Linked DNA regions of Arabidopsis thaliana. The protein of the gene in region 2 interacts with the protein of the main gene of each other region in a pairwise test. Each region holds a gene or a part of one and is shown on either strand. Other genes may lie near its edges. The genes, in order: AT1G12440, AT5G37890, AT2G27580 and CHY1.

Region 1 (6,989 bases), on a different chromosome or scaffold from region 2:
TCAAACTTTTGGAAACTAATGGGTTTTAGAAAAAGGGAAGAGAATTAGAGACAGAGACAAGTGAGTGACCAAAAGTAAACGTCTTTCTGTTATTTGTTTGTTTCTGTAGCTTTTGTTCTCTCTGTTTTACTGAGTTTGTTTAATCATTTTGTTCTTCTTCCTTTTTTTCCATTTCTTTCTTGATTGTTTTGAAGATATTATTGTGGTTTGAGACTGGTGTGCAAGACATGGCTCATATAGTAAACGGGTTTGCTTTTTTTTTTTTTTAAGGTCTATCAGAGACTTTCATAGCAATATTTTCACTATATGAAGCCAGATTTGCTCCTTTTTTCGATGATTTTCAATACTTATGCTTAATTTTAAGATACGCTATATATTTTCTTCACTCGTTACATCATTATTCAGACCAAGTAATAAAAATTGCCAGGAAATTATTCCTTGTTAAATACATCAAACGTATCATATGATCCATATGAAATTGATCCAAACCTATCCATATGAAATTGAAGTTGGCGCAGTTGGTCCGACGGCCCAATAACGTGGCACTAAACCCAAACATCACAGAGGTTCTCGCGTTGACTACTCTGTCAACAAAACCGAAACAGATGACGTCATCATTGACACTCAGCATCGAAGTTAGCTCCAAAGATCATTTGATACATAAATTTCATGGAACATAGGAGGACACACAGTCTTCATGGATCATTTTTGTTTTTACTTTTGAACAAAACCCAACAAGACATTGTTCCATGATACATAAGGTGGATTATATGCAAGGAAAGAAAAAGACTTAGATGATCTAATAAATATACATTGGAAATTTTCAAAATTCAATTGATACATATCATATATACAAGAGAAAAAGACATAAATATTCATTTTCAAATGAATAAGAATAACAAAAAAAAAAAAAAACATTATATATTATCAATTTCAAGATCGTGTTAGATGATGGTATGTTGTGGTCATGGTGAAAAGAGTTAATAAAGTATTGGATTTTGTAATGTCTCTACGTCCTCTGATTGCATCGCACTTAGCTTCTTCTTCGCATAGATTGTGCAGACTATAGTCGCGCTCGCAGTTACACAGAAGCCAAGAACATTCACGACTATCTCCACAACCGAAAGTGTGTGTCTCGTGTCTGATGCAACTGCTAGTGTCCTTAGCATTATACCCCTGCAAATATCCCAAAACAGAAAACCACCAGTCTTAAGATTCTGCAGAACATGCCTTAAACATTGAGACAAGAGACATAGAGAAAGAGAGAGAGGCATGTACGTGTAAATTGAGACAAAGATCTCAGGAACCATTCCAACAAGAGAGCCTAAGATATAAGGACCATAATGAACTCCAGTCGCTAAAGCGCAGTAGTTGTAAATGATGTAAGGAAATGGAGAGACACGGATTAGTGTGACTGCTTGAAACTGATGAAACCAGGTTCCTTCACCAGCAGCTCTAAGTATGGCTGCTTTTTTAGGGTATTTCTTCAACCATTCCTGCACAAATGACAAGAAAGAAAAAAAGTCCAAATTGATCATCTCATGGTACAAGCTTAATAATAAGTATCCGAACAAAGAGTATGGGATGATGATGCTTACTTGCATCTTGTGGAGGAAGAGATGTCCAATTAAGAAAGGAAGAGTAACACCGATGGAAGCAGCTGATAAAATCAGAAGAAACCCTTTTCCATAACCAAATGTAAGACCAGCCATCCACATGGAAGGGGAAGAAGGAAGAAGAATGCTTGGAAACAATGCCACTGAGGCAAATAGTAGAAGACCGAGAACCGGTATGCTGAATGTGTTTCTCACCCAATTTATAAATGGAATCAGCTCCTGAAACAAATCACACCAACATTAATGATGATAAATGAATAACCTTCCTTATAAACACATACTCATACATGTAATTCAAGAACCCTAATTTTCAACAATTAAAAACCCAGCAGAAACCAGAATCATTATGCATACCCTAATCCAATCAAATGTAACCAATAAGCATCAGATCTTCGAGAGACAAAAAAAAAACGAACCTTTTCAATCAAAAAGGGACCAACCCATTTGATGATAACAAAGGCCAATGAACCCAAACAAACGACCAAGGAGATCAATTTCACCCAGAACCAGACAGAAGTAACCGATCCTATCGGACATCTCGATGATTCCGCCGATGATCCTTCATCTTCTTCATTTGATCCTCCTCTCAATTTCAGATAATCACCATTATCGGAATCTTCTTCGACTCTCAATTTCAGCTCAGGCACCGTCCCATCGACGCCATTGCTGTACGTCATAGATCGATGCGAAGATAAAACCAAAAAAAGTGAATCCTTTTGGCTCTAAAAAAAATATCTCAAAAGTTTCCGTCAGAATCGTTATGCACCTCTGTTTGTTTTCCTTCGGTTTCTCGAGAAAATTAAACCGTTAGATCAAATGTTGTGTTGATCGGAGAGAGCGAATGGGGTTAGAAGAAAGAATCTTTATTATTCGTTTCCGTTCTTAGCTTTAAAAACTTTTAAAAAATGATATCCTTATAATTAGGTGGTTTAGTTTCAACTTATTAAACCGGTGTCGTAGTCAAACATGTGGAGACATATGAGTGGCTAATAGCTGTTGCTCCGTCACGAACCACCGATAAATGTGTAAGCAGAGTTGCTTTAGACCGGCGCTTTATTTTCGCTTTGCCGTTACGGTGCGTACATACATCGTACTGACAGAAGAAATACGTAACATATTTAATTATTGAAATTTAGTTGCTTGAAGGCAATTTATATATATTACGGAGCATAACATAAAAGAAAACGAGAGGATCGAACAAGAGAATGAAACGCAACCAAAGTTGATACTTGTAAGCAAAATATAAGAACAAGACTCCCTGTAAAAATGAACATATCGATAGATGATATATAGATTAGATAGCTACGTTTTGAAGTATTAATACCATACCAAAGAGGAGCATAAGAACTAAGAAGCTTATGGACCCTATAAACAATTCACAAACTATATCAAATTTAATTTGGTTGTGGACCTTATGGTCAGTATTGGATCCAAAAAAAAGGATGCAGTCGCGAGTGAGAGTCGCTTGCTAATATAACGTCTTGAATGATAGCGTTCGATGATTTTGGATTTCGATTAGTCGTTTCCAAACCAGATAAATGGAAATTGAATTAGTCTCGATTTTAAGGACAAGCATAAACAAATTATAGCTCAAGATTAGATATAGTGGTGTCCAAAACACTTTACGTAAATTAAAACGATTTAGTCATGTTGATATTTGCAAGTAAACTCAGTGAGAAAAGACCTGACCACTTTTAAAATCCGGTCGTTTTAGCGAAGAAAAGAAAGAGATAATTGAAAAGGCCCAAGGAAGAAAGAGTACATTTGGAACAACATATCATCACATTCCGATCAAATCAAAAGAGCGATGGACTAATCGCGTCGGGACAAACGCGCCACCTTTTTTCTTTATCCTACTGTTACGTCACCGTCCAACCAGCTAAGCATGTCCCCACAAACCAAACCCGGTTCATATAAAACCGATTATCTTCACGAACTCGAACCAACTTTATCGTAATCCACAAACACCATAAAAAGTTGATAACCCCACCCATTTTATATCCACTTTATCTCATCAAAAAACTTCCAATCACCACCGTTGGATTAGTAAACAATGGCGTCATCACTCTCCGATTGTTTCATCGAACGAATATTATCAGGGATGTATTAAATCTTCCGTGCGCCTTACCGCATATGAATAAACCATTTGACCACAAAGACAAATGCAAAAGAACTAAAAGAGTCTGGTTTCTGTTCTGTCCTAATTTCTCTCTGGCGAAAGCTAAGAGGTTTCGGTTACGGTCTCCATCTCCGATCAAATCACGAAGTTTCTATCGGAAATTTTCAGTGATACATACCGTCAGAGATTTTCTTTACGAGAGAATTGTCGCCGACATACTAAAGCAGAGTTTTGGGTGGGAATTAGGTAAATATCTTATTGGTTTTGTTCTGTGCCGATATGCAGATTTGTGTTCTTCGTTTGAATCCTTCATCTATTCTTGAACCATTCGATTTAAGTTTTTGACGGCGAAGATTAAACAACTCTTATCTATCTCTTTTTTGTCCTTTTTTGCGCCGGAAGGGTAAAGTGGTCTTTGTGAGATAGACGCTGACCTGGTCTTAAGTGTTGACAAATGACGCATTTACTCTTCGACTTTATAAAGAGTTCCAAGGGTATTTTAGTCATAAATGAGAAATAATTTTAGTCTTTCTCGCTTGAGAAACAAGCCAAGAATCTCCGTTTTCTAAATCTTTCGATATTGTCAATTTCCCTTTATTTTCTCGACGGAATCATAAATAAAAACCCTAAACCTAAAGTCACAAATTCATTCTTCATCTGTTATTCACGATTTGTGTTGTCTTTTCTTTTGCAGTAAGATTTCGACTTTGGAATTGGGAGATCTTTCCATTATGGGTTCTGAGCAAAACGACAGCACAAGCTTCTCTCCTTCAGAGCCAAAGCTCTGCGTCAAAGGATGTGGCTTCTTCGGATCTCCATCGAACATGAACCTCTGCTCTAAATGCTACAGAGACATCCGAGCCACGGAGGAACAAACCGCTTCCGCTAAAGCCGCCGTCGAGAAATCTCTAAACCCTAATAAACCCAAAACTCAACCACAACAGAGCCAAGAAATCACTCAAGGCGTCCTCGGATCTGGATCGTCTTCCTCATCAACGAGAGGGGGTGATTCGGCTGCTGCTCCGTTGGATCCACCGAAATCGACGGCTACGAGATGCTTGAGCTGTAACAAGAAAGTTGGCGTGACGGGTTTCAAGTGTAGGTGTGGAAGCACTTTCTGTGGAACTCATAGATATCCAGAGAGTCACGAGTGCCAATTCGATTTCAAAGGAGTTGCGAGAGAAGCTATTGCTAAAGCTAATCCTGTGGTGAAGGCTGATAAGGTTGATAGGATATGAATTGGTGAAGAAACTGTTGTGTTCTCTTTTGTTTTTTTATTTTCAAGTCTCGTGATGTTGGTGGTTTGGCTCTCTGTTTTCTGCTCTTATTATGGTTTTATTTGCTTTTAGGGTTTCTTAGGAAAGGCCTTAGATTCTGCTATTATGTGGTTTCATGTTTTGCAACATTGGATTTGTTGTTCTGTAATAAAGTGTTGGTTATATTATGAAATTGTGTTCTTATTGGTACCAGCTTACTTCTTCTTACTTGGAGAAGTTGAATTGTTTGCAGATATAGGATTCTCTTGGTTATGAGGCTTATGAACTAGTTGGGGGTCGTAAATAGCTTATGGTGGATAAAAGTGTGTAGCTTGATAGTTCTGAAACTAAAGATGTCGTATAGAGCTTATGGTGGATTCCCCTGGTTTGTTTATAGTGGACGAACAAGTTGGGGTTTGTATATAGCATTATAGCTTATGGTGGATAAAGTATGTAGCTTGAAATTTCTGAAGCTGAAGATGTTGTTCAGGGTATCTTTATCGAGTCATGGAAGATTTAGATGTGTCTTTAGTTTAGGTGTTAAGTGTCCTTGATTGAATGAGTCATTGATTTTGCTTTCTCTGTCTTAGCTGGAGAAAGTAGTGTTCTTCTTACCTGGACAAAGTTTGATTCACTTAAGAGTTGTGGGACTTAGAGTAAGTGGAGTTTTTATATAGCTTATGGTGGATCCAATGAAGTAGTCAAAGTAGTTTACCTATATCGAACCATGGCAGATTAAGAGATGTTTAGGTGATAGTGCCCAGTGATTGAACGAAATCAGTGATTTTTGCCTGGTAGTGGCAGTATGCTTTGATAGCTTAAGAAACTTTAAAGACTTGAGGCTCGGTTTTGGCCATGATCGATTTGTTTGAACTAGTTGGGATATTCGGTGTTGTAGTCGATGACTGTAGATTGAATACATTCTGTCGTTTGTGTATACATATTCCCTAGCAATGATGCTCATAAGATTATTTCCCTGTGCTTGTATGATCTTCATCTCGTTGGGGTTATGTTTAAAGTGTAACCCATCAAAAGTTTTTAGCAAAAAGATGGAATAGTCAATGCCAATGCAGATCTTTGAATGGTGTGTATTGAACAATGTCAATATCCACAATCAAGTGCACTAGTTGCATCTGATCTATTTTTATAAAAGAAGTATCCATCCAAATTTTTTATATACTGTCTTCGCATACAACTGATTTTGATCTGAAATTTCACTAGATGAAACTGGATTTGATTTTCAATACGGTTTCTAAATTGTCTAAACTATGAAAAACTGTAACAAACAAAAATTGATATCAAAACTTAAGACTGCAACCGACGAGTTGAGGTAGACTATGAAATGATAGAACATATGTCCTTGGTGTGGGTAAACTGTTGCTTTCACTTTCACTTTCACTTCTTGATGGTTACATTACAATATTGGGTCCATTTTTCGGATCTTATCAACCAATTTACAAAAAGCAAAGAGAGAAAAGCAGTGCACTACAGTTTTCTTTATAAAACTTAACAAATGAACATGTAGACTTTTAGTTTTCAACTGTGAAACATGTTTTGTACTTCTTTGCTTTAGGCTTTATTATTTTTCTTTCTTATACATGAAAAAATAGTGGAACAATGAAGTACTTACTGCGACATTGCAACCTTTGGAAAAAACCACTTTCAGGCCATGATGCAATATCGAATGATCTGACGTTGCATCAGTCGTATAACCTTTTGTAATTCATAGTTTTACCCCTAAAAAAAAACAATTTTATATGAATTCAATTTTCGATTTTAAACATAAATTTTCGATTTTGGACATTTTACATGTCTAGAATATCTCCCCAAATCCTATGATCAATATAATAAACAAATAATGCTGAAATTAGAAAGAGAAATAACAAAGTGCCCTTTTATATTTTATAGAAAATAACTCTTTGTTCCTTGAATATAACTCACTTTAGTAAAGTCTCTCATTGAAGAAGGCCCCTACATGAATACTGAATAGTCTGAGTG
Region 2 (7,755 bases):
GATATGAACTTGTGTCAAATACTTCTTCAACCCTTACACAAAACCCTAATTAAAATAAAACCGAACATACACGTGTTCTTCTAGCTTTCCCTTGCGTTTTTGGTTTTCAAGCTCTAAGGTATTTAACAAGATTTCCTTTTTCTGGTTAGTTTCCTTTTCCTTAGTTAGTTTGGATTTGTGTTTACCACTCCTAAGAGATGTATTAAAAGTTGTCTTCTACAAATAGATCTATCCATCGTTGTTTAAGAGATATCAGACTTGTGTTTTGAGATTTAAAAAGTTGGCGTTTAAACACTCTTTTTTTTTTTTACTTTTTTTGGTACGGAAGTCTTATAAAAGTTTCGAACAAACTCTTCTGCCTTCATCAGTCGAGGATGTTTTAAAATTGTTTGATTAATGAAAATATGATAATATTTTTACTATTGATATCTAGGTGACATGGTGGGAGCCTTAGAAGCTTTGATATCTCAAGGTCATGGAGGGGAGAGAGTGGCTAAGAGACAACGCTCGGCGACATTGCTAGATCTTGATATCCTCGATTGTCCTATTTGCTGTGAAGGATTGACGTGTCCTATCTTCCAGGTTTTGTTTCTTGTCTAAAAATTGTTTTTTTCCAGCTTTTAATACATATTTTTTTTCTTGAAATTTTTACAGTGTTTTTTTTTTTGTATGTCAGTGTGAGAATGGACATTTAGCATGCTCTTCTTGCTGTCCCAAACTGAGGAACAAATGCCCTGCTTGTGCTTTCTTTATCAGCCAATGGAGAATATTCTTGAATCGATATTGGTCACATGCCCAAACGACATGTTTGGTTGCACCGAGAGTTTCTTATATGGGAAAAAATCAACTCATGAAGAAGAATGCATTTTCTCTCTATGCTCATGCCCTTCATTGGACTGTGAGTACTCCGGCCGATACGAGGATCTCTATGATCACTATAAACTGACTCACATCTCGAACTCATACTGGACCACTAACTGCTTTAGATCTAGCATTCCATATAAGGCCCCGATGCTTATCAGCGATAAGATACAAATTACAAGGGTATATGAGAAGAAAATATTGTTTGCAGTGCAGTGTTTTAGGGAGTCGTGTGGTGTGTATGTAACCGTAAGCTGCATTGCACCATCTGCTCCAGAAGTTGGACAGTTCTCATATCAAATCTCCTACACTGTGGATGAACACACTATGGTTTACAGATCACCACAAATGAAGAGGGTTCGTAAAGTGAGTTTTGAAACACCTCAAGAGAATTTCATGTTGATACCTCACAATTTATTGCGTAGTGAATTGTTGGATATTAAGCTTTCTATCGTCGAAACGTCGAACCAAGAGTAAGAATGTTGAGGTGATATAGAACTAGAAGGAAGGAATGTCATTTTTTTACTCTCTCTATCTCGTCTGACATTTATATAAGTTTTGACGAACTAAGATCCGATGTAATTGCTTAACGGCTTGATTCAGCTTTGATGCAATTTGTTTGGTATTGCTTAACACGTTTTTGTGCATTTAGAGTGATAATGGAAATTTTGATGGAATCGACCAACAAAACATTTCACAGTTTTTTAATCTAATAACTTCTAAGCTATACTTTATGCATGACCAAATTGGAGTAATGCGTGCTCTTTCGTTTGTCATGATTATGGTCTCCATCTTTTATTCTACTCTTAGTCGAAATCTAATTATAAGTAAACGTACGAACGTGTGATGTCTAAAAGCAGAAGAAAAAATTTAGTTGTGAATTGTGATTCAATGATTAAAGAATTCCAATATGGTAGTTTTAACTGCAATTTTACATATTAGTTAAGAATATAAAAGCTAATACCAAAATTCTTAAATCTTTAGCAGAAAAAATAATAGCAAAAGTTAAAATAGAAATTTCCATAAATAGCACCATTTCAAGTTTTTGGAAAAAAATAGCACTCAAACATTTTTTGGACAAAATAGCATTCAAATAATTATTTTATTTTTAATTATTAAAATTAACAATTAAAAAAATTCAAAAAGTACACAAATTCATCATTTGGGTGAATGCTCTATGAATATGCTAACACAAACTTTTTTTTTATTAGCAATCTGCTACTTCTGCATAGTAATTGACCCTATTCAAAAAAAATGAACTATATAACTCATAAATTGTTAATTCTGCAAACGATATGGTTATTGAAATTATATTGGTTTAAGCATATACTAACCTATATATCTGTTAATTCTGTGAATCAACCGCCGATTTTTTCCTTGCGTTTCCAATAATATTTTCCTCAAGGTTTGAATTACTAGCTTACATTGTATAGCACTCCATTATCTTCATCATGTAGATATCGGACTCTTTAATCTTAGCAGTCTACCACCAAAAATCAAAAGAATTTTTAAACATTTAATTTGAAAATTACTTGAGGAATAGAGGTCAACACTATGATATATTAAATTTAGAAATTACCTGAAGAAAAGAGGTCAGGACTCTGATACTGAATGGAGTGACATCTATGTCGTGGAATCTTTCAAAGAATCATTTCCTGAATTTAAGAAAGATTCTACAAAATTCAGGAAGAGTTTTAGGAAAGATTTTTTTGTGAAATCTTTTATGAATTCCGTGAAATCCTTCCCAAATTTCGTATAATAATCTTTCCTAAATTTTTTTTATGGGAAACATTTGACGGATTTTTTTTTGTGAGAAAATTTTGACAAAAATCTTTGGCGAGAAATATTTAATTTTATTTATTTAATTAAATTAGTTATTTATATTAAATATTTAATAATTAATTAAAGTTTTGAGTGTAATTTTGGAACTATTCAAATGAGCTGCTATTTTTGAAGAAATTGTTTTTTTTTGCTATTTTTATCAATCTTCCAAGGTAAAATTAGTCTAGTGGTTTGTGATTGCCCCAAATCCCAACTTCAAAACCACATTTTTGACAAAAAAATAAATAAAAGCTACATAACTTTTAAAAATAAAAATTAGCTTATTAATTAATGTAGCAAAAAATACATAAACTATTAAGACTAAATAAATAATTATTATTGTATTTTGTAAAATTTAGACATTGTTTCTGTTATATATTATATGGGCCTTAATTGGGAATTGAAGAATTAAAAAATACATAAACTTTAAGACTAATATTAATTTTTAAATGGTTTTATATATATAATTATATTCTTTTATATTGTAAATATTAATAGACTTAAAAATTAGATATTGTTTATAAGTTTATCAAAAAAAGGTATTGTTTATATATTATATGGGCCTTAATTGGGAATTGAAGAACTATCGAAGCCCATATCATCTATAGTTTGTGCCATTGTCTCCTTTCTCTGTAAAACCATCCATCAATGAACAAAATCAACTAAATTCTCTATTTGCCTCTCTCAGTTTTCGAGAAGACTAAAAGCGAATTTAGGGTTTAGTCATCTCTCCGACATGGTTGGTGCCGCGATTTTGGAATCTCCCGGCGAAGGAATTGGATCTAACAGCATTCTCTCGCAAAAGAGACAACTTTCTTCTAGTGATGCAGCTAAGAGAGACGCTAAGAAACGCTCGACAATGCTAATGGATCTGGAGATTCTCGATTGTCCCATTTGCTACGAAGCTTTCACAATTCCCATCTTCCAGGTTTCGTAATTTCTCAAATTGAATCATTTCGTATTTTTCAGAAAGTTTCTGTTTTGGTTAGAACTCTGAACATAGTTGGAACTGTGGCCATTTACTTGATTCTAAGAGTAGCCTTAGCTTTTGAGGATTCTAGTGAACTTTTGAAAGTTATGTTAAAGAAATTGCAGAGAGAAGAAGTTGGAATTGTGCCCATTTACTAGTTACTAGATTTCAAGAGTGTCCTTAAGCTTTAGCTTGTGATGATTTTATAGAATTCTAGTGAACTTTAGTAAGTTATGTTCATGTATGCAGTTGTATATAGTTATTGAAAATATGTGTATAACTTGTCTATATCATGAATTATATGGGAGAATCATTTGGGGAGAGAACTATTATCCTTGGTCGATTCGATGAATATTATCTCGACGTTGTTATAGCTTTTGATCACAAGTTATTGGTTTTGAATTTCAGTGTGATAATGGACATTTGGCTTGTTCTTCTTGCTGTCCCAAACTAAATAACAAATGCCCTGCGTGTACTTCGCCTGTTGGCCACAATCGCTGCAGAGCAATGGAGAGTGTTCTTGAATCGATCTTGATCCCGTGTCCGAACGCCAAGTTAGGTTGCAAAAAGAATGTATCTTATGGGAAAGAGTTAACTCATGAAAAGGAATGCATGTTCTCTCATTGCGCCTGCCCTGCATTGGATTGCAATTACACTAGCTCATACAAGGATCTGTACACTCACTATCGTATTACCCATATGGAAATAAACCAGATTAATACGTTCATTTGTGACATTCCCTTAAGTGTCCGGATGAACATCAGCAAAAAGATATTGATTAGAACGGAACACTTGACGAATCATTTGTTTGCAGTGCAGTGTTTCAGGGAGCCGTATGGTGTGTATGTAACTGTAAGCTGCATTGCGCCATCTTCTCCAGAATTAAGTCAGTACTCATATGCTCTCTCTTACACTGTCGATGGACACACTGTGATTTACCAATCACCAGAGGTGAAGAGGGTTCTTAAGTTGAGTTTTCAAACCCCGCAAGAGAATTTCATGTTGATTCCCAACAGTTTATTGCGTGGTGATGTGTTGGAAATGAGGATTAGCGTCAAGAAGTTGAACAAAGAGTAAGAAGGTTGGGGTCTTCCTGTTAGAAAACTCTTATCTGTCTCGTTTTAGTTATCTTAACCCGCCCATAGTCGTTATGGTTGATGAGGGTTGTAATTTTAGAGACTTGGTGCAATCGACCAACAAAACGTTTCACAATGTTTTCAATCTAAACTAAGATATAATTTATGCATAGGCCATTTGCTATGAAGCATTGACGATTCCTGTCTTCCAAGAAGATTTTTCCATCTTTCTGATTCTTATTTCTTGATAACTAAAATTCTTCCAGGTTTTGGTGTTTCTTGTTATAAACTCTGTATTAGGAACAACGAAGTTGGAAACTTGCCCTTTTACTAGATTCTAAAAGTTACAAAAACTAGTTTTGTTTTGAGGATTTGAGGATTCTAGCGAAGTTCTACAAAATATGTTCAGTTTTGGAGTTGTAGTTCTTGAAAAGTGTGTATAATTTAGCAAGATCAAGTATATATCATGAATTATAAAAAAGGTTAGTTAAATATATATATATATGGAGGATGATATAATTAAGAAAGTATACATGGACATATAATTATATCCCATAGGACAGAAAAAAAGAGGTTGAAGAGGGAGATCGTCCTCACCAGAATCCATGGTTAGGGCCTCACCAGAAGAGGTTGGGTTGTCTGTTTGTGTTAATGTGTATACCAAATTCGGTTTTCCACCAATTTCCTCCTTACAAAATACACCCATTGAACTCATGGCTGCTAATATGGAGATTTGGATCGATTTTTGTGATATTCTTCTTCTCCTTCTCCCCTTGCATATATATATTAGCCAGCCATTTAATATAAAAACTTGTGAATACAACTAAGCTTTCTTTTGTTTTAGTTGAAAGCTTTTTTATATTCTTTGTTATAAAAAAGTCGTTCATTATTTTTTTTTTCTTTTTGTTTTTTTGTTAAAGAAAGTCGTTCATTATTGATTTCGGAGAGCTGTTCAATTATCAAGACTTCGGATTTTCCGGATCTTGTTTCTAACGATTGGAAGTTTGAAGAAGCAAGACTTCGAATCCCATCTAGGAACAAGAACATATCGTGACTTCACGTTGGACAACTGTAAAATAATAGTGTACAATACAATACATGATAGTATTTGTTATTACTTTAAAATTAAACAAGGAAAATACGACAAGTCTACAACGCAGATTAAGTTAAATATTTTTCTTTTTCTGCTAGTGATATGATTCTTCTCTCCAAAAGTATATCTCTCACACAAAACTTGCTTAGGTCTAAACAATAATCTTAAAATATTTACATGTATATATTTTTGCTAAGGTTTTTGACCAAAAATCCCTCACCTATTTACTATTTTCAATATTAGTCCTTACAAATTTAATCTCAATCAAATACTTTATAACTAAAAACTTACAATTAGTTGAATTGCATTAATTAGTTGAATCAACTCTTCCTAATTTTTTATCCTTAACTAAATTTTTTTTTATTGAACTATATTCGATTAAGGCTAATTTCCTAAAATCTATATATCAACATTAAATATAAATATATAATTTTTCTGTCATTATCTTTGTTTTTATATATAGCTATTTTAGTTTATATATAAAATACATATATTTAATAAAATATTAGATTTTTTTGCATCCGATAAAATTCAAATTTTTTAAAACAGACATATAATACTCCATCGATAAAAAAAAAAGTTTTAAAGGTCCCACATTGCTTAAAAATTTGGGACATCGTTAAGAGTCATACTATAAAAAATATTTAAGTGATTCTGAATACGAATGAGAAGGAACCTTGATATATCAAACATCCAAAATTAAAAGTATTGTTCGGTTTACTCCGGTTCTTTATTTTAAATAAGTAAAAGTTTTAAAGTTTTAAAATATTATATATATTTAAAATTTATTAAAAGTTAAGTATTACAATTTCTTAAGAAAATTTAAAAGTTAATAACTATAAAATAAATTTAATATTAATGATTTAAAAATTTTAAAATTTTATGAAGTTGTAAATTTTGTAAATATTTGAACTTTATAAGAAGTTAAAATATTATAAATACTAAAAATATATTAATATTGAACGATATATTACGGGTGAAATCCTATATGTAACAATCAATATACAATTATGAAGTTTGGTCCATATTAAAACTTTTTTGAAGTTTCTAATATTATAATTATTCGAACTTCATAAAAAAATGATAAAATGATGTTTAATTTCACGGGACGAGGTTATATGGTGGGATAGGTTTGGATCGATATTAATACGGAATGATACAATTATACAATTTTAAACACTAAAAAAAAATAGTTATAAAAATCATACAGAGGTGTATCATACTATCATACATAAAAGACAATAGCATGTATCTATAGATCATCCTAAAAACAATAATAATATTTTTAATTTAATAAAAATATAGACGTTTGATGTACCTCTTGAATATGTTATATATATAAACAATATTAATAAAAATAAAATATCTAATTTTCTAAGAAATATTTCAACCCTGGATGTACCGCGGGTCAATCTCTAAATAATACAAGTTAAAAAATAATAATAATAATAATACAAGTTTTAAATCTTTATTACCTCTAAAAAACCCAAACCATAAAAATAAATATTGAATTTTCATAATTAACTAACAAATATGAGAACATAAAAATGAATTATCGAAGCTTTACATAAATAAAAATTATGTGTTAAGAATATATTATTTATATACAATTAATAATTTTTAAAAAAATTATCTATAATTTTTTAATGAACATATCCACCCGTGGTACCGCGGGTTAATATCTAGTATATATATAATATAGGTTAGTAAAAACGTGCAGGGTCTATTTTACAAATAAGAAAAATTTCTAGACTTCTTAAAGACTTTATGATACGTGAGAAATATCCTTGTCGATAAGGGTGTCGATCGGTACTGACGTGGTGTCGATCGATACTGACGTGGTGTCGATCGACACCAACGTATGAATAATGTTTCTGCTTGTCTTCTTTTCCTGAAAAGCTTCCAAAATTCCTTATTATGCTTCATAGCTCTTA
Region 3 (6,740 bases), on a different chromosome or scaffold from region 2:
CGTTTTTGGAAGTTGTGAAGAATTGGCTCAATGTTTTGATGAATGATAACGAAAACGCTTGCCGTTTTTTAATATATGCTTATTTTTTCCAATAATTTTGTATTAAATGGTTTGAAAAAGAAAACAAATTGTATTAAAAAGCAGAAGAAAAACAAAAAAATCCACGTAGAGAGATACATCAAAATCCCACCATTCAAATATATTAAGTACAAGGTCCTTCTAATAGGAGGCAAATTTGAAAAAAAATTCAAATAGTGACAATATAAAGCATGACCATGATAAGTTTTCTTGTTATCAACCTTAAGAAAACAAACTAGAAATATTATTTCAAAAACAAACCTTAACATCAACACAAATTAGTAAATCTACTTTGAATGCAATTGTAGCAAAAAATAGTGACCAAAATTAAACTTGCAACAAAGAACATTTAAGTTGCAGAAAGGACATTCCTTTTATTCATTCAAAACATTTGGAGTCACTTGTGCACATTGCAAACGCAAAGACCGGAGTTTCAGCAGCGAATCGTAATTGTCAACCAAAGCGAACAGGTTCTATTGATACCCAACTAGCAAGATTATTGATTATGTCTCAATGATAAAACGAACGAATGAATTTTTCACTAGTTGACAATGCATTAAAGAAAAAAGGAAATTTTCAAGTTCAAAGAATATGTTCATTAGTGTGGAAGCGATTAGGCAATACAAAAATGGTAATATATTATTGTCTTAAACACAAGATAATCAATAGTTATTGGCAAGAAACACATATCTTCAAGTAAGAAATACATTATCCATCATAAACTTATAATAAGAGGAGATCATTGCAAGATCTATTGAGATTTTCAAAGTACTATTTGTTACCTATGCGTCTAGTCATCTCCAACGAAACACCAAAACACTATTTTAGGTGATAATTAACCAAGTTTTTCTAAACCATAGTAAAAAAAAAAAAAAAAAAAACCCCACATGATAAATACCATCCGAACCACTAAAAACCGGTATTTGACCCAAAAAAAACACTAAACCGAGAGCAATAGGGCCTACGTGGCATAGTTTAGGGCACTCTTCAGTCTAAAGACACACTAAACACAAAGTCAACGCTTTTCTCTTCTTCCTCGACTGCTCTGCTCTGCTCTATTCTCTGGATTGAGAATTTGGACTGAGAACGACGACAAATGGGGAAACGAGAGAAAAAACCTAATCGACGTCGCCACAAAGGTGAATATTCGAATGATGCTGAAGATTTCTACGATCAACACCCGCCGGCTGTTGCCTCCGTCGACGAAGAAGATGAAGAAAACTCTGACGAAGAAGAAGAAGAAAATGATGGAAACGAATCATCGGATTTGCCTTCAAAGTTTCTCCTTTACCAACAATCCGTTCAGGTAACTGCAATTCTGTGCTTGGCCTTCTAAGTTTCATTGAGTGGTTCTTACTGGTTTTATGAAATCAGTTAAAAGTACTTAAATTTTCTTAGGGAGAGAGTTCTCTGTATCTCTTGTATAAAGAAGCACTAAGATTTAACAAATTGTATTGTTTGTGTTTCACTGTTCTTGTTCTATCATCAAGCACTAAGCTTTAACATTTGTTGTTCTTGTCTTTTCATTGCTTTTTGTTTGTTGCAGTCACCAAAAGGAGACATAAGTTACTTGCAGAAGTTCTTTTTAATGTATGTTGGTGGAAGACAACCTTTCCATTTCCAAGAAGATTTCTGCGGCACTGCTCTTTTAAGGTTGTTGTGTGTTTCACTAAATGGTACAAAATAATGTAGCTTTTGGTTTTCTTGCTTGAATAAGTTTTTACATTGATTGTTGGAATAGTGCGGAGTGGCTGAAGACTGACACTAGACGGACTGCTATAGGGCTTGATTTTGATCTTGAGGCGTTAGAATGGTGTATGGATAACAACATTAGTAAACTTGGTTCTGACGTGTATTCAAGAATGTCGCTTTTCCATGGGAATGTTTTAACTCCTCTTGAGGCTAAGCAAGTGAAATCTAAATCCCATGAGCTGATACAAAATATCAGCTTGGATGATGGTGATGATAATGAAGATTTGGCTGATCCGAGTGTTGTCGAATCTTTAGAGAAAGATGGACCTGATTCGTTGCCAAAGAGGGATATTGTGTGTGCTTTTAATTTTAGTTGTTGTTGTCTCCACAAACGCTCGGAGTTGGTTTCTTACTTCAAGAATGCACGTGACGCTTTGTCTAAGAAAGGTGGTATCTTCGTGATGGATTTATATGGAGGTGCTTCTGCTGAGGGACAGTTGAAGCTTCAACGGAAATTCCCTAATTTCACGGTAATAGTTCATTCTTGTACTTCATTCGGTAAAAAAGGGTGTCAGAGCCATAAATATCGAACTTACTAGAGATAACCGTACTAACGATTGTCCATATTCATTTGGCAGTATACATGGGAGCAGGCTGAGTTTGATATTTTAAGCCGCAAGACAAGGATCAGTCTGCACTATCACCTTCAGAAGCAGAACAGAAAGATTCGCCATGCTTTTTCATATAGCTGGAGACTGTAAGTGTCCTGTAGTCTACTTCCACATCCATTCTTTCTTCAAAGTGGGACAGTCATTACCCACAATCTCCCACAAGCCTTAAGAAAATATTACAGTTACAAAAAAACGAAGCATATTTGGTACTTAGGGGTTTGCTTAGCATTTTAGATAACTTGATAAGTGTAGGCTTTTGGTAATTTTGGTTGGCTGGGTGAGGTAGAGATTCTGTAGTGCAGCCACTATGGATCAAAACTTACACAAACATGTGCTCGAATGTTACTGATATCTAAATTCATATGTTAGTGACTTATCCTTGTGTTGGCTGGTAAGTAGCAGTGAAATGATATTGAATGTTATATTCGGGCAAGACAATATTCCTGCTTTCCTTATTGTCTGTAGATTTATTGTACTTGCACTCTTGAATCATTAAGTTCCTGAGAAGTAACTCCTGGATCTGCTGTTCATATATGTGTAGGTGGTCATTGCCGGAGATAAAGGATTGTATGGAGGAAGCTGGGTTTAGCTCAGTCCATTTCTGGCTCAGAGAAATGCCGGACGCTTCTGAAATGCGTAGAACAGATGGGTTTGGTGCTGGACGTGATATCAAGTACGAACAAGTCAAGAGCTTTCAACAGTGTGATTCTTGGAATGCTTACATTGTTGCGGTCAGCCTCTAGTTATGCTTTCTATCTTTTGATCAAAAGACACTAGCCCTTTAACTCAGATCCTTTGTCGATTTTACATCTAGTATTTATTTCTGACACGCACTGGTTTAGTTTCATGATTTCAATATTATTTTTTTGTCGTCTCATGATTTCAATTATCAAGCACAAAATTGTTAAAATGAATAGTGTAGGTGCTTCTGGAATCTTCAACGCTAGCCCAAAAGCCAAATAACACCATTTTCCACAAATTGTCCAATTTCCATCTTACGGCCAACAAAAAAAAGAGTAAAATAACAATTTAATTTTGTATCGATTGCGTCGTCGTTAGTTTTCCCATTTCCTCATAATTCTTCATCTCTTTCCTTTCTCATCTCTCGATTCCTTTCTTTCTTTCCATATTCCATTGATTTCTCTCTTCTTATAAAAATACAGATTCTCTCTTCTTAGAACCATCACCGATTCGAACAGATCTAATAAATCGTTTTTTTCACCAGGTAATGACTTGTTGTTTTCGCCGATCCATTAGTTTTTTCTTTCTGTTCTATAGTTTTGATGAGATTTAAGCAACAGATCTATTGATTTTTGATTCCATCGATCGGTTAATTTTGTAGATTTTTTTCGCCGGAGTTTGTTTTGATCCATTCTGTTATGGCGGAAGAACACAGACTTCAAGAACCACGATTATGTGCTAACAATTGTGGCTTCTTCGGAAGCACAGCTACACAAAATCTCTGTTCCAAATGTTTTCGAGATCTTCAACATCAAGAACAAAACTCTTCCACCGCCAAACATGCTCTTACCCAATCCTTAGCCGCCGTTGGCGCTGCTGCGTCTTCCTCCGTGTCGCCACCGCCTCCGCCTCCAGCTGATTCGAAAGAAATCGTTGAAGCGAAATCAGAGAAACGAGCGGCGGCTGAACCGGAGGAGGCGGATGGTCCGCCGCAAGATCCGAAGCGGTGTTTGACTTGTCGGCGGCGCGTGGGAATCACGGGGTTTCGGTGTAGGTGTGGTTTCGTTTTCTGCGGGACGCATAGGTACGCGGAGCAACATGAATGTTCGTTTGATTTCAAGCGGATGGGGAAGGATAAGATCGCTAAAGCGAATCCGATTGTGAAAGCTGATAAGCTTGAGAAGATTTGACTTTGTTGTTTGTTGTTTGTTGTTGTTGCTTTGGTTTTGTGCGTTTGAATGAAACACACATGAAGAAGAAAGAGCAAGAAACAAACATGTCAATGTAAATTTAAGCTTTATTTGATGATTTCTTCAGTTTGGTTATTAAATTTGCTTATTATTGATTTGATTGTTCCGTTTGATGATCTTGTAGAAGGCTTAAGTCGTATTATCAATGTGTAGAATTTGGATTTGGTTGATTGGTTCGTCATTACATTAGCCATTAGCCAATATGTAGAACAGAGAAAAGCATGACAACAACATAGGGTAGTCTTATTACAATGCATTGGAGAAAAGCACAAACTCAGAATTTCAAACCAGAATTTTGAAGTTTCTCTTGGATGATCATGTCGATTTTGTTCTCCATTTCAGGAGTCAAATAGTTCTTCCAATCACCGACTTCTCCTTTACGGAAAAATGTTTTGTTATCTCTACCTTCACATAATTTTCCGGTCTTATTGATCTCCAAACTGCTTAGATTACGTAGAGAGCAAAGATCTATAATCTCATCCACCAATCCGTTCTCTTCTTCTTCCTTAGTAAAGGAGAATCTAAGAACTCAGCAAGTCTCTTGATCTGCTCATGAGGTTCTGCTTTCATCTCCTCAAACCTCATGAAAAGGACATGATTTGGATCTTCCAAGCTTCTTCTCCAGTAGCTTAAGACTTGGTCCCAAAAAGGCCCAAAAAAGTTGACTCCCTTACAAAAAGACTCGAACGTTTCCTCGAAACTGGTTTTTACGTTATCATCATTAGAAAAGAAATGCCAATATTAAACCAATGTGTCTTTCATGTTCCTGCAAATATACACAACTTTACAAGTAGAATCTTTAAGCACTTCTTGCAGCGTATGAGACGGCATGTGTGTCGAGAACAGCCTCGGAGACGATGAGAACTTGGTCAGGTCCGGTTTTTCGCTATAGTAATTGAGATTCATTTTAAGTTAGGGGACAAGAACGTGCGGATTGTTAGAAAGAAGGGGATGATGATGATCATGAGAAGGGTGTTTTGATCTATGCACTAGTGAGAATGTAAGTGCCTTGAGCCAAGTCGTGCCGCATTTAGGGAACGAAGCAACGATGATATTGGTGTCTTGAGGCTTGAAGTTTTTCTGGAAATTGAGGACAGCTTGGAGAAAGTGGTGAGTATACCAACATCCTTGGTACTTACAAACATTTATCCCAGTGGAATCTTTGTCTGAAGGTAGTGAAGAGATGAGAGTCTTTGTTTCTTCGCTTAAGTCATCGTTTCTCAAGTTGACCGCCATTTTTTTATCATCCATTACCAAAAATTGTGGTTTAGGACAGAAGCGGAATGAGATAAGAGGTCTCAACGAGCCTTCAGCATCTGAAACGGGAGCTTTGGTTCTAAAGCGAACAACACTTTGTAAATCATCATTATGATTGTGTTGTTGCAATACGCAACGTTTTCAATCAACACTTGTTTGTTTATTTGTCAATTGTTAACGTTTTCAATCGACACTTGTTTGTTTATTTGTCAATCGTTATGGACTTATGGTTGCTAGGATTTGTTGTCGTAGTTACGATTTAGTTGTAGAAAATTCGTATTTAACTTTGCGTTATTGACTTATAGTATCTTTTCTGCGTTAAGTAAAAGTATATCAAAACATGAATAAAATAATGAGTTTATAGGATTGATTTTCGATAACTTTATGAAAGTAATCAAAGCCGTCTTAGCTCAGTGGTAGAGCGCGTGGCTTTTAACCACGTGGCCGTGGGTTCGATCCCCACAGACGGCGATCATGGTAATTTGTCCAAACAAATTTTTGGTGCTTGCAGCCACCAATTACTTAAGGACGACTACCATTATACAACTATATCATAATTTTGAAAATAAGGAATATCAGGTATAATTACATTGATAATACTAAAAATTAACATCCATCAATATGAAAATAGACCATGCATGAGATTATAAGCCAAGTTTATTCAGATCACAAACAGTTCATAACAAATACACACATAAATATGATAGGAAAAGCTGTTTCCCGTAACTAAAATATAGAATGCATGGAACAACACATATTGTCCGGGCACAGCCAGAGTTAGTTAGGGCAGCTGCGGCAGCGGTGGAAAGTCATTCAACGGCGTCTAGCGGCGGTCTCACGCTGGCAGTTGAAGAAAACAGCCGCGACGGGGAGGCCAAGATCGTTCTCATGAGCAAACTCTCGAGTGTTGAATTGGTCTCTGTAAGATGGCACAGACACCACACTTCCTCTACGGGTCTGCTTGAACAACAAATACACAAAGCGGTGGATCCCTATGTTTGGCCGAGGCATCTCGTACCCGATTATCTCTTTACCTGTTTTGTATTCTCATATTAAAATCTTTGAACAGAAAATATACGTATATGAAATGTGATTTGTTATATCTAAGGAT
Region 4 (8,604 bases), about 11 Mb from region 2:
TTTCAAGTGAAAACTCTACAAAATCTTTCAAAGCATCAAGGTTTCTCGAACACTCTCGCAGGTAACCCAACACCTCCCAGAGCAAAGTTACCCAACCTTCTTGTCTGTACAAGTTTGCAGCAATATCGAAAAAGAATTTTGCGTTGTTGGGATCAGCCAAATCAAAGTACTCCCGGGCTACTTCAAAGGCACAAAGAGCAGCCATCCTCTGGGCTTTAAGGTTGGTAAATGATTCATAAGATCTCTTCAGCCAAGCAATAATTTGAAGGGAATCCTGAACTCTCTTTGCTTCTGAAATTGTATACCGTGTGTACTCTTCATCCGTTATACTGCAAATACATTAGAATTCATACTATTAGAGATGGTGGTAGCATAATTAGTTTTCTTTTACATAGATTTGTGGGATGAATTATGAACAACTTACGAGTGAAGTGTAATAGCTTCTCCCTTCTCAAGCAACTGAGCGAACTGACCCACATAGACTGAAGGAGTAATAGATGCAGAGCTGCTATCAATCTCTTGAGCTATTTCAGACATTGACAACAACAGTTCCAGGGCAGATTTCTTATCCTTCAAGTAATGAGCAGCCAACTGCGTGTAAAACGAAAATTTCCCAGTGGATAAGAACATATTATATTTTCAACATACTGTACCTAGGAACAGACAGCTCAGAAATTTATGAGAAAGAGGACGAAAAATCCAGCATTTGCTTAGAGGTAGGTGTTTAAGTTTATGTAGTATTGTTTTTAACTAAATGGTAAAAGACACAGAAAAGATTTAACACAAAATGCACCACCAAGTTTAGATATGTTCCGACTATGTGTTACATAGAGCAGAATTGACTGACCTGATAATAATAGGCAGGGTAAAACTCAAACTCAGTCAAAGATATTTCCGCAGTTCCTTGGTTTGAGGATGTTAAGCTCTGACCAGTTGCTGAGCTTGTCTCCAGCAACTCAGCAAAGACAAGAAACTGCCTACTCATCCAGTCCCAATGGAGAAAAATAAATTCTGTGGATCCGACAACCTTTTCATATGATGTTTTATGTTGATGAAACCATGTCACTGCTTCTATGAGTTTTCCACCATGCAACAAAAGCGTTGATATCTTGAAATGCAATTGCTCAGCTATGATTTTGATCTCGACCAAGCGTTGTATTGCAGGCAACCTAGTCGATGTCCCGATCATCTGTTTGCATAAACAAAATTGCTCGTCGAAATTGAATGTGTGGAAACCGCAGGCAAAGATATGTAATAATAAGAAAGCAATGACCATATATGCATCAAAAGGAACTTCTTGACTAGAAGCAGAATACATATTAGCGTGACAGATGGGTTGGGAAAAAACAAAATACTTAGAGATAATAAAGACCTCGTGCAAGGAATGGTATGCGTCTTCATAAAACTTCAGTGCTTCACCCCAATCTCTACGAAACTCTGCATATACAGCGACCTAGCAGTCATGGCATGAATGAGCCTTCCTTTTCCCAGATACTTTGGAACAAAATGATTAGACTTAGCAGAGGTAACGAGAAAAGCTTACTTTAAAACAGTAGCGAACATTCAAATCAAGAGAATTGGAACTCCTTTTCTCAATTCGGCTTTTGATTCTCCGTCCTTCTTCTCTGTAATAAGAAAGTGCCAACTCTGCAAAAGCAGAAGCGAGTCTGCAAACATACCGTGTTGAGATGCATTGAAGGAAAAGCCTCTTGTTCTAGGTGCAAAGTAAAAGAGGAGAGAAACATACCTGGAGAGAGAGAGCGTGAGTTCAGAGACTATGCTGGAATTGAAGAAGAGCACGTACTTAGAATCTAATTCTGCCCGCTTTCGCAATGCCACCAGACGATCGTCGCTAATGTCCTCTAAAAACAAGTCGGGAAGGAGTAAGTCACCAGTAGTTCCGAGAGGAAAATGAAAAGAATAATCGGATAAAATGCGCTACCGTGGGGAGAAGACTGGACCACGACAACCACCAGTTTGATGTTTTTGGGACGGATTACGGATCTAGCAAGCAATTGAGATCGCAGTGTTAATTTGAGGGTTTGAAACAAAGGAGGGGAAACAAGGAAACAAATATAAAGGGAGATGAGGAAATACTTGAGGCTGTCGAGATCGGAGCAGACCTGTAGCCATTGAGTTGGATCGCCGAAGATGTGATGTGAGGGAAAGAAGGCGGCGACAAGTGCAGGGACCTTGGTGCGATGCTTAAGCAACCAGTCCCGTTTCAAAATACCGCCGCATCTGGAAGGAATGGGAGAAGCAGAATCGGAGACGCTGAGAGGATCTCTGAAGGAGGAGGTTCGGCTGATCTGATCATCATGAGCAAGGAGGAGAGAGATTTGAGAGAAGTCGGGGAAGGCCAGAGCGTTGATGGGAGGCTGCTGGGAGTGGAGATACTTAGTAATGGACGCGTGTAGCTCCGCGTATCCGAAGAGAGCCACCAGACTTACCGGTGGCGTCCTGAGCTCTTCCGGGTATTCCTCCATCTCGCCGGGGAGTGTCTGAGACTCGGACGCGTTGAATCGAGCAAGGAAGGATCTGACACATTCATTTTACGTGGGCTTTTAACGGGCCTTTGGATAAGGGAATGGACTTGTATAGCTGTCAGATTGTTCATCTGGCCCAGAATATGATGTGAAATACTTAATGGGTTTTCAACGGGCCTTTAATCTTTAAGGGTATGAACCACTGCAGTTGTCAGATCTGATTTAAACTAATGTGGTTTCTAAGGATGTAGTATCATCAGGCCCATTATAAGCCCACTTCTTAAAGATGCATCGACTCGTCAAAAAAATAAAATAATACAAAGAATTCGAATTGGTTGCATATACAGAAACATTGGATTTTACAAAATGGAAGAAAGAATTATTGGAAGAGAATGAGAAGCTGTCAAGCGGAGGAGCGGTTGATGAAGTCAATGCAGTCTGCAATTGCATCGGCGTAGAAAGAGTTAGAGCGACGTATAGATGTGTAATCAAGACCGTCTTCTCTGACCAGCGGAGGCCTTCTGCAGCACCAGCTCCTGAGAAGCCTGAAAAAGCTTCTCACTCTCGCACGCAGTCTCTTTGTCTTCTGCCTCAGCCTAATTCCTCTTCCACTCGGCCATCGTATCCTTGCTCTTTCCATCTTTCAACTCTGTTGCATATGCGTCAGATTGTTGAGTTTTCATGTATATGCAAATTATCTATATATCGAGAGGCGAGGGCTTTCATGTCTGACTTTTAGAAGTGGTTGTTGAGAATTTTTGAAGACTTTTTTAATGATTGATCTGGTGCCCACGTGTCATTTTATGCTAGAGGGAGGTGTTGGTTAGTTGGAAAACTAGCTTCCTAACAAAAAAAACACATGTCTAACGTACTCGATAAAAACATATAATCTTCTCATTCATCAAGCATGTTGCAAGAGGGCTTTGAAATTGAGTTTGAAAAGCAAAGTTCCATTTGCTCTATTAACAAAATAAAGCCCATTATTAAAACCAACAGATTACTATAAGGCCCAATATCAACTTCCTAAACTAAGCGGGTGAAGATTTTGTTAGCCATTAGTGGTAATTTCTGATCCCATTGCTGCTCCTCTCTCCGGAGATACAAAGGCGAATCTGACCAGTAAGAAAGATGGCAGTCGAGATGGCCTCTCAGTCTCAGGTCTCTTTCTTGCGTCTTTAATCCGAATCTACGACGATCAATTCTTCGCTCTCTGAATTAATAATATGATCACAGGTTTTGGTGGAAGAGAAATCGAGTGTTAGAATCTTGACACTAAACAGACCAAAGCAGCTGAATGCTCTGTCCTTCCACATGGTATCGAATATTTCCCTTCTTGTACATGCGTACTGTATTGGCTTAGACTCATTTTTTTCTGTAGATCTCTCGATTGCTGCAACTGTTCCTTGCATTTGAGGAGGACCCTAGTGTGAAACTTGTCATCCTAAAGGTAATCATTATCCTTATCTCTTCCGCTTACACACATTTAGTACTGAATAACTTTGCCACAGGGTCATGGGAGAGCCTTTTGTGCTGGTGGCGATGTTGCAGCTGTTGTTCGTGACATCAATCAAGGTTTACCACCCATTCTTTTCTGTTTCTTACTTTCAGCTTTTATACACTCTTTCTCTATCTTCGTTCGTTGACTAGGTAACTGGAGACTCGGTGCCAATTACTTCTCATCTGAATACATGCTCAACTATGTTATGGCCACATATAGCAAAGCTCAGGTCTCGCTATAATTTCGTTTTGTTTTTGTAAAATCACTCCCGAGTGGATAAACTCATCAATTCGTATAGGTTTCAATCTTGAATGGTATCGTCATGGGAGGCGGAGCTGGTGTATCCGTCCATGGTCGATTTCGTATTGCAACTGAGAACACGGTAATCTTTCCTTAAACATGTCCATGGATGACAAATAGGTCGCTCCAAAATATGCTCATATCTTTCGACTTTCTCCAAGGTTTTTGCCATGCCTGAGACAGCTCTGGGGCTCTTTCCAGATGTAGGCGCCTCCTACTTCTTGTCAAGGCTCCCTGGTTTTTTTGGTAACAGAAGCTATATTTCCTTTTTTTGCATCTTCTTAAAGCCACCAAAGTTTGAAAATGCTTTCTTGTCTTTTTTGTTCAGGGGAGTATGTTGGCCTCACAGGAGCTAGATTAGATGGTGCTGAAATGCTTGCTTGTGGCCTTGCAACTCATTTTGTGCCTTCAACGGTATGAACTTCCTTTGCGTGCGTCTATTTCGTAAGACATTCTGAATTGACTTTACACATCAGATATTGTATAGCTACTAGTGTCAAGCACTATCTGCTTCACCAAGGATTGCTACTTAGTTAGGTTTACTCCTTTCCACAGAGGTTGACTGCATTAGAAGCAGATCTTTGCAGAATTAATTCAAATGATCCAACTTTTGCCTCAACAATTCTCGATGCATACACCCAGCATCCGCGCCTGAAACAGCAGAGTGCTTACCGCAGGCAAGTCTATATGATTTTTATCTCTTTTACTCTTTCTACTAGTATGGTTTTACCTGATTACATTTTCTCGGTTATTGACCATGATTATAACACATTTTTTCTATAATTTCAATTTCGTATTGCTGTCAGGTTTTCAATCGCTCTTTACAGAACTCATTTCTCATCTGATCTTTAATTGAAAATTTATAAAAGTGCAGAGGACAGTTATTTTTTATCTCCCCGTTTGTTGCGCAGGTTAGATGTTATTGATAGGTGTTTCTCAAGGAGAACAGTCGAAGAAATTATATCTGCACTTGTAAGCTTTTCATTTATATATAGAGATGTTGACTTGCGATCCTGAGTTGACTGATTTACCTTTGACAACGCACTCTACCATCATATGTGTTGCTTAGGAGAGAGAGGCCACTCAAGAAGCAGATGGTTGGATCTCAGCTACCATTCAAGCATTGAAGAAGGGTTCACCAGCAAGCCTTAAAATCTCTCTTAGATCGGTTAGTTCCCAGAATGTGCATCACAGGCAATGTTGACAAAGAGCTGACTGTGAGTATATATTTCAGATAAGGGAAGGGCGATTGCAGGGGGTGGGGCAGTGTCTTATCCGCGAGTATAGAATGGTGTGTCATGTGATGAAGGGAGAAATCAGCAAAGATTTTGTGGAGGTTTTGCAAGCTTTTTCCATCTGAAACCGTCTTTGTTGTAGACCGTAGTTACAACAGCGTGTCTTTACTTATGCAGGGGTGCAGAGCCATATTGGTAGACAAAGATAAGAACCCAAAGGTTTAACAAGTCTCTCCATTTGTTATTTGTGGTTGGTAATATGTGACATTGTTGATAACAATATCTGAAATTATAGTGGGAGCCAAGGCGACTGGAGGACATGAAGGATAGCATGGTGGAGCAGTACTTCGAGAGAGTGGAACGGGAGGATGATCTAAAGCTTCCGCCAAGGAATAACTTGCCTGCTTTAGGGATCGCAAAGCTGTGAAGTGGAGAAGGTGATGGAGCACTATTGTTTACGTCTGTGGGAAAGAAAAAAGAAAATAAATGTAACAACACTTGTGTTGAATAGGACTTGCATACATTACATAAATCATTATTGTATTTGAGAATTGACACCAAAGCAGCAGAGCAGAATTGTGTTAAGATTTGTTAATGGTGTTGGAGGCACAACCATGGCAAACGGACGTGGAAGCACGTCTATAGTCATTGTTCATTTATTTGATTGAGATTCCTCCTTGGTCTCATCTTCTGAAAACGAAAAATAATTAGAAAATCAGGTGAATCGTGAAGTATTGAATGAGAAGAGGCAATTAAAAATCTCCCGTGACTCTCGTCTCCCCATCTCTCTCTCTCCCTCTGCCCAAATTTCTGGGGCAAATTTGTTCATCAGATCTACTACAATCTCTCTTTTTCTTCGGGTATGGAGGGCCAACGAGGCAGTAATTCTTCGTTGAGCTCTGGCAATGGCACCGAAGTCGCCACCGACGTTTCTTCTTGCTTCTATGTTCCCAATCCCTCTGGAACCGATTTCGATGCCGAGTCGTCTTCTCTTCCTCCTCTGTAAGTCTTCTTTGAATTTTTAAAAACATTCACTCTCTTGCTGCTGTCTCTGTTGATCCTTCTTCTTTGAAAATTTGAAAACATTCTTAGTCTCTCGCTCTGTCACAGCTCCCCAGCTCCTCAAGTGGCATTGTCAATTCCTGCGGAGCTTGCCGCCGCCATTCCCCTCATCGATCGCTTCCAGGTTGAAGCTTTTCTGCGGCTAATGCAGAAACAAATCCAGTCTGCTGGGAAGCGTGGCTTCTTCTATTCCAAAAAGTCCTCTGGCTCCAATGTCCGCGAGCGCTTCACATTTGAGGATATGCTTTGCTTTCAAAAGGTTTTTCTTTCCCCCCCTTTCTTCCCCATTGACAATCCATTGACTGAATATGTCTCTCTCCCCTTCCTTCCTTCAGGATCCAATCCCCACATCTCTCCTCAAGATTAACAGCGATCTCGTCAGCCGTGCTACCAAGTTGTTTCATCTCATCTTAAAATATATGGGTGTTGATTCATCTGATCGATCTACGCCTCCCAGTTTAGATGAACGCATTGACCTCGTTGGAAAGCTCTTCAAAAAAACTTTGAAGCGTGTTGAACTCAGGGACGAACTTTTTGCCCAAATCTCCAAACAGACTAGACATAATCCTGACAGGCAATACTTGATCAAAGCTTGGGAATTGATGTACTTATGTGCCTCCTCTATGCCTCCTAGCAAAGATATCGGTGGATATCTATCTGAGTATATTCATAATGTCGCACACGATGCAACTATTGAACCGGATGCTCAGGTTCTTGCTGTTAACACTTTGAAAGCTTTAAAGCGCTCTATCAAAGCTGGTCCTAGGCACACCACACCTGGTCGTGAAGAAATTGAAGCCCTTTTGACCGGTAGAAAGCTCACAACCATTGTCTTCTTTCTCGATGAAACTTTTGAAGAAATTTCATATGACATGGCTACCACAGTGTCTGATGCTGTTGAGGTATCTTCTTGCTTTCTTTTTTCATAATTTACCGCTGATCATATTCTTGTCCCTTTTTCTCTCACTGCATTGACATCTGTTTCAGGAGCTAGCTGGAACAATTAAACTATCAGCTTTCTCTAGCTTTAGTTTGTTTGAATGTCGTAAAGTTGTTTCAAGTTCTAAATCATCTGATCCCGGAAATGGTATGCTTTCATATGACTGGCTTCGTCATATATTGTGAAGTAATACAACATTATCGATCATTTTTCTATCTGTGCACTTGCAGAGGAATATATAGGATTGGATGATAACAAGTATATTGGAGATCTCCTCGCAGAATTTAAAGCTATTAAAGATCGAAATAAAGGAGAGATACTACACTGCAAACTGGTATTTAAAAAAAAATTATTCCGAGAGTCTGATGAAGCTGTAACAGATCTGATGTTTGTGCAACTTTCGTATGTTCAAGTGAGCATTTTCTTCATTGGTGACATTTATTTCCACACAAAAGGCTTGCCTTTCGTTGCTGACACACATATATGCAGCTGCAACATGACTATTTGCTAGGAAACTATCCTGTTGGGAGGGACGATGCTGCACAGCTTTGTGCCTTGCAAATTCTTGTTGGGATTGGGTTTGTCAATAGTCCAGAGTCATGCATGTTAGTTTTCTTAAGCTCCGCCATTGACTTTATTTTAGTTGTCCGATACTTTATTTTTCCAATTTTCCTCCCTTAACAATATCATTTCCTTTCTCAATGTATCACATATCAGTGATTGGACATCACTTCTTGAGCGGTTTTTGCCAAGACAAATAGCAATAACCCGAGCAAAGCGTGAATGGGAATTGGATATCCTTGCTCGCTACCGTTCAATGGTAGGAATAGTTCTATGCATTTTGATTGTCTTCCCCTTTCTAGATACCTTTGGCAAATAAAAACCCATTGAAGTGATGGCATGGTAAAATGATATTTCGTATGTGTATGTGGGCATGTAGGAGAACGTGACCAAAGATGATGCAAGACAACAATTTCTACGGATACTGAAGGCACTGCCATACGGGAATTCAGTTTTTTTTAGCGTACGCAAGATAGATGATCCGATCGGTCTTTTACCTGGGCGAATCATTTTGGGTATCAA

What was found.
Region 1: the proteins of AT5G37890 (region 2) and AT1G12440 interact in a two-hybrid assay, tested with the Arabidopsis thaliana proteins (one large-scale study listed by BioGRID).
Region 3: the proteins of AT5G37890 (region 2) and AT2G27580 interact in a two-hybrid assay, tested with the Arabidopsis thaliana proteins (one large-scale study listed by BioGRID).
Region 4: the proteins of AT5G37890 (region 2) and CHY1 interact in a two-hybrid assay, tested with the Arabidopsis thaliana proteins (one large-scale study listed by BioGRID).

The regions. Positions count from the first base shown.
Region 1 is NC_003070.9:4,239,800-4,246,788, reverse strand, and holds AT1G12440 (A20/AN1-like zinc finger family protein), read left to right. Parts: upstream 1-3,587; 5' UTR 3,588-3,981; exon of another isoform or gene 3,982-4,429; 5' UTR 4,430-4,466; coding exon 4,467-4,973; 3' UTR 4,974-5,368; downstream 5,369-6,989. Other genes in the region: AT1G12450 (SNARE associated Golgi protein family), read right to left, coding at 981-1,176, 1,279-1,496, 1,599-1,835, 2,033-2,293. UniProt on the Arabidopsis thaliana protein: May be involved in environmental stress response.
Region 2 is NC_003076.8:15,087,486-15,095,240, reverse strand, and holds AT5G37890 (Protein with RING/U-box and TRAF-like domain), read left to right. Parts: upstream 1-3,285; 5' UTR 3,286-3,418; coding exon 3,419-3,610; intron 3,611-4,060; coding exon 4,061-4,729; 3' UTR 4,730-5,563; downstream 5,564-7,755. Other genes in the region: AT5G37900 (TRAF-like superfamily protein), read left to right, coding at 439-582, 757-1,338. UniProt on the Arabidopsis thaliana protein: E3 ubiquitin-protein ligase that mediates ubiquitination and subsequent proteasomal degradation of target proteins.
Region 3 is NC_003071.7:11,774,212-11,780,951, reverse strand, and holds AT2G27580 (A20/AN1-like zinc finger family protein), read left to right. Parts: upstream 1-3,398; 5' UTR 3,399-3,666; intron 3,667-3,783; 5' UTR 3,784-3,820; coding exon 3,821-4,312; 3' UTR 4,313-4,542; downstream 4,543-6,740. Other genes in the region: AT2G27590 (S-adenosyl-L-methionine-dependent methyltransferases superfamily protein), read left to right, coding at 1,175-1,384, 1,625-1,731, 1,820-2,300, 2,409-2,527, 2,983-3,184; AT2G27570 (P-loop containing nucleoside triphosphate hydrolases superfamily protein), read right to left, coding at 4,647-4,812, 4,857-5,065, 5,120-5,236, 5,294-5,623; ATC (centroradiali), read right to left, coding at 6,443-6,663. UniProt on the Arabidopsis thaliana protein: May be involved in environmental stress response.
Region 4 is NC_003076.8:26,374,172-26,382,775, reverse strand, and holds CHY1 (beta-hydroxyisobutyryl-CoA hydrolase 1), read left to right. Parts: upstream 1-3,094; 5' UTR 3,095-3,107; exon of another isoform or gene 3,108-3,158; intron 3,159-3,528; 5' UTR 3,529-3,614; coding exon 3,615-3,644; intron 3,645-3,719; coding exon 3,720-3,800; intron 3,801-3,864; coding exon 3,865-3,933; intron 3,934-3,994; coding exon 3,995-4,058; intron 4,059-4,133; coding exon 4,134-4,213; intron 4,214-4,282; coding exon 4,283-4,366; intron 4,367-4,445; coding exon 4,446-4,530; intron 4,531-4,612; coding exon 4,613-4,698; intron 4,699-4,839; coding exon 4,840-4,961; intron 4,962-5,195; coding exon 5,196-5,256; intron 5,257-5,353; coding exon 5,354-5,452; intron 5,453-5,518; coding exon 5,519-5,620; coding exon of another isoform or gene 5,621-5,644; exon of another isoform or gene 5,645-5,696; coding exon 5,697-5,738; intron 5,739-5,814; coding exon 5,815-5,946; 3' UTR 5,947-6,166; downstream 6,167-8,604. Other genes in the region: AT5G65950 (trafficking protein particle complex subunit-like protein), read right to left, coding at 1-329, 425-591, 848-1,189, 1,373-1,453, 1,544-1,667, 1,748-1,862, 1,943-2,004, 2,098-2,486; ZWI (kinesin-like calmodulin-binding protein (ZWICHEL)), read left to right, coding at 6,382-6,521, 6,612-6,840, 6,917-7,483, 7,569-7,668, 7,752-7,933, 8,011-8,126, 8,239-8,341, 8,462-8,604. UniProt on the Arabidopsis thaliana protein: Involved in valine catabolism. May be indirectly involved in benzoic acid biosynthesis and in cold signaling and cold tolerance.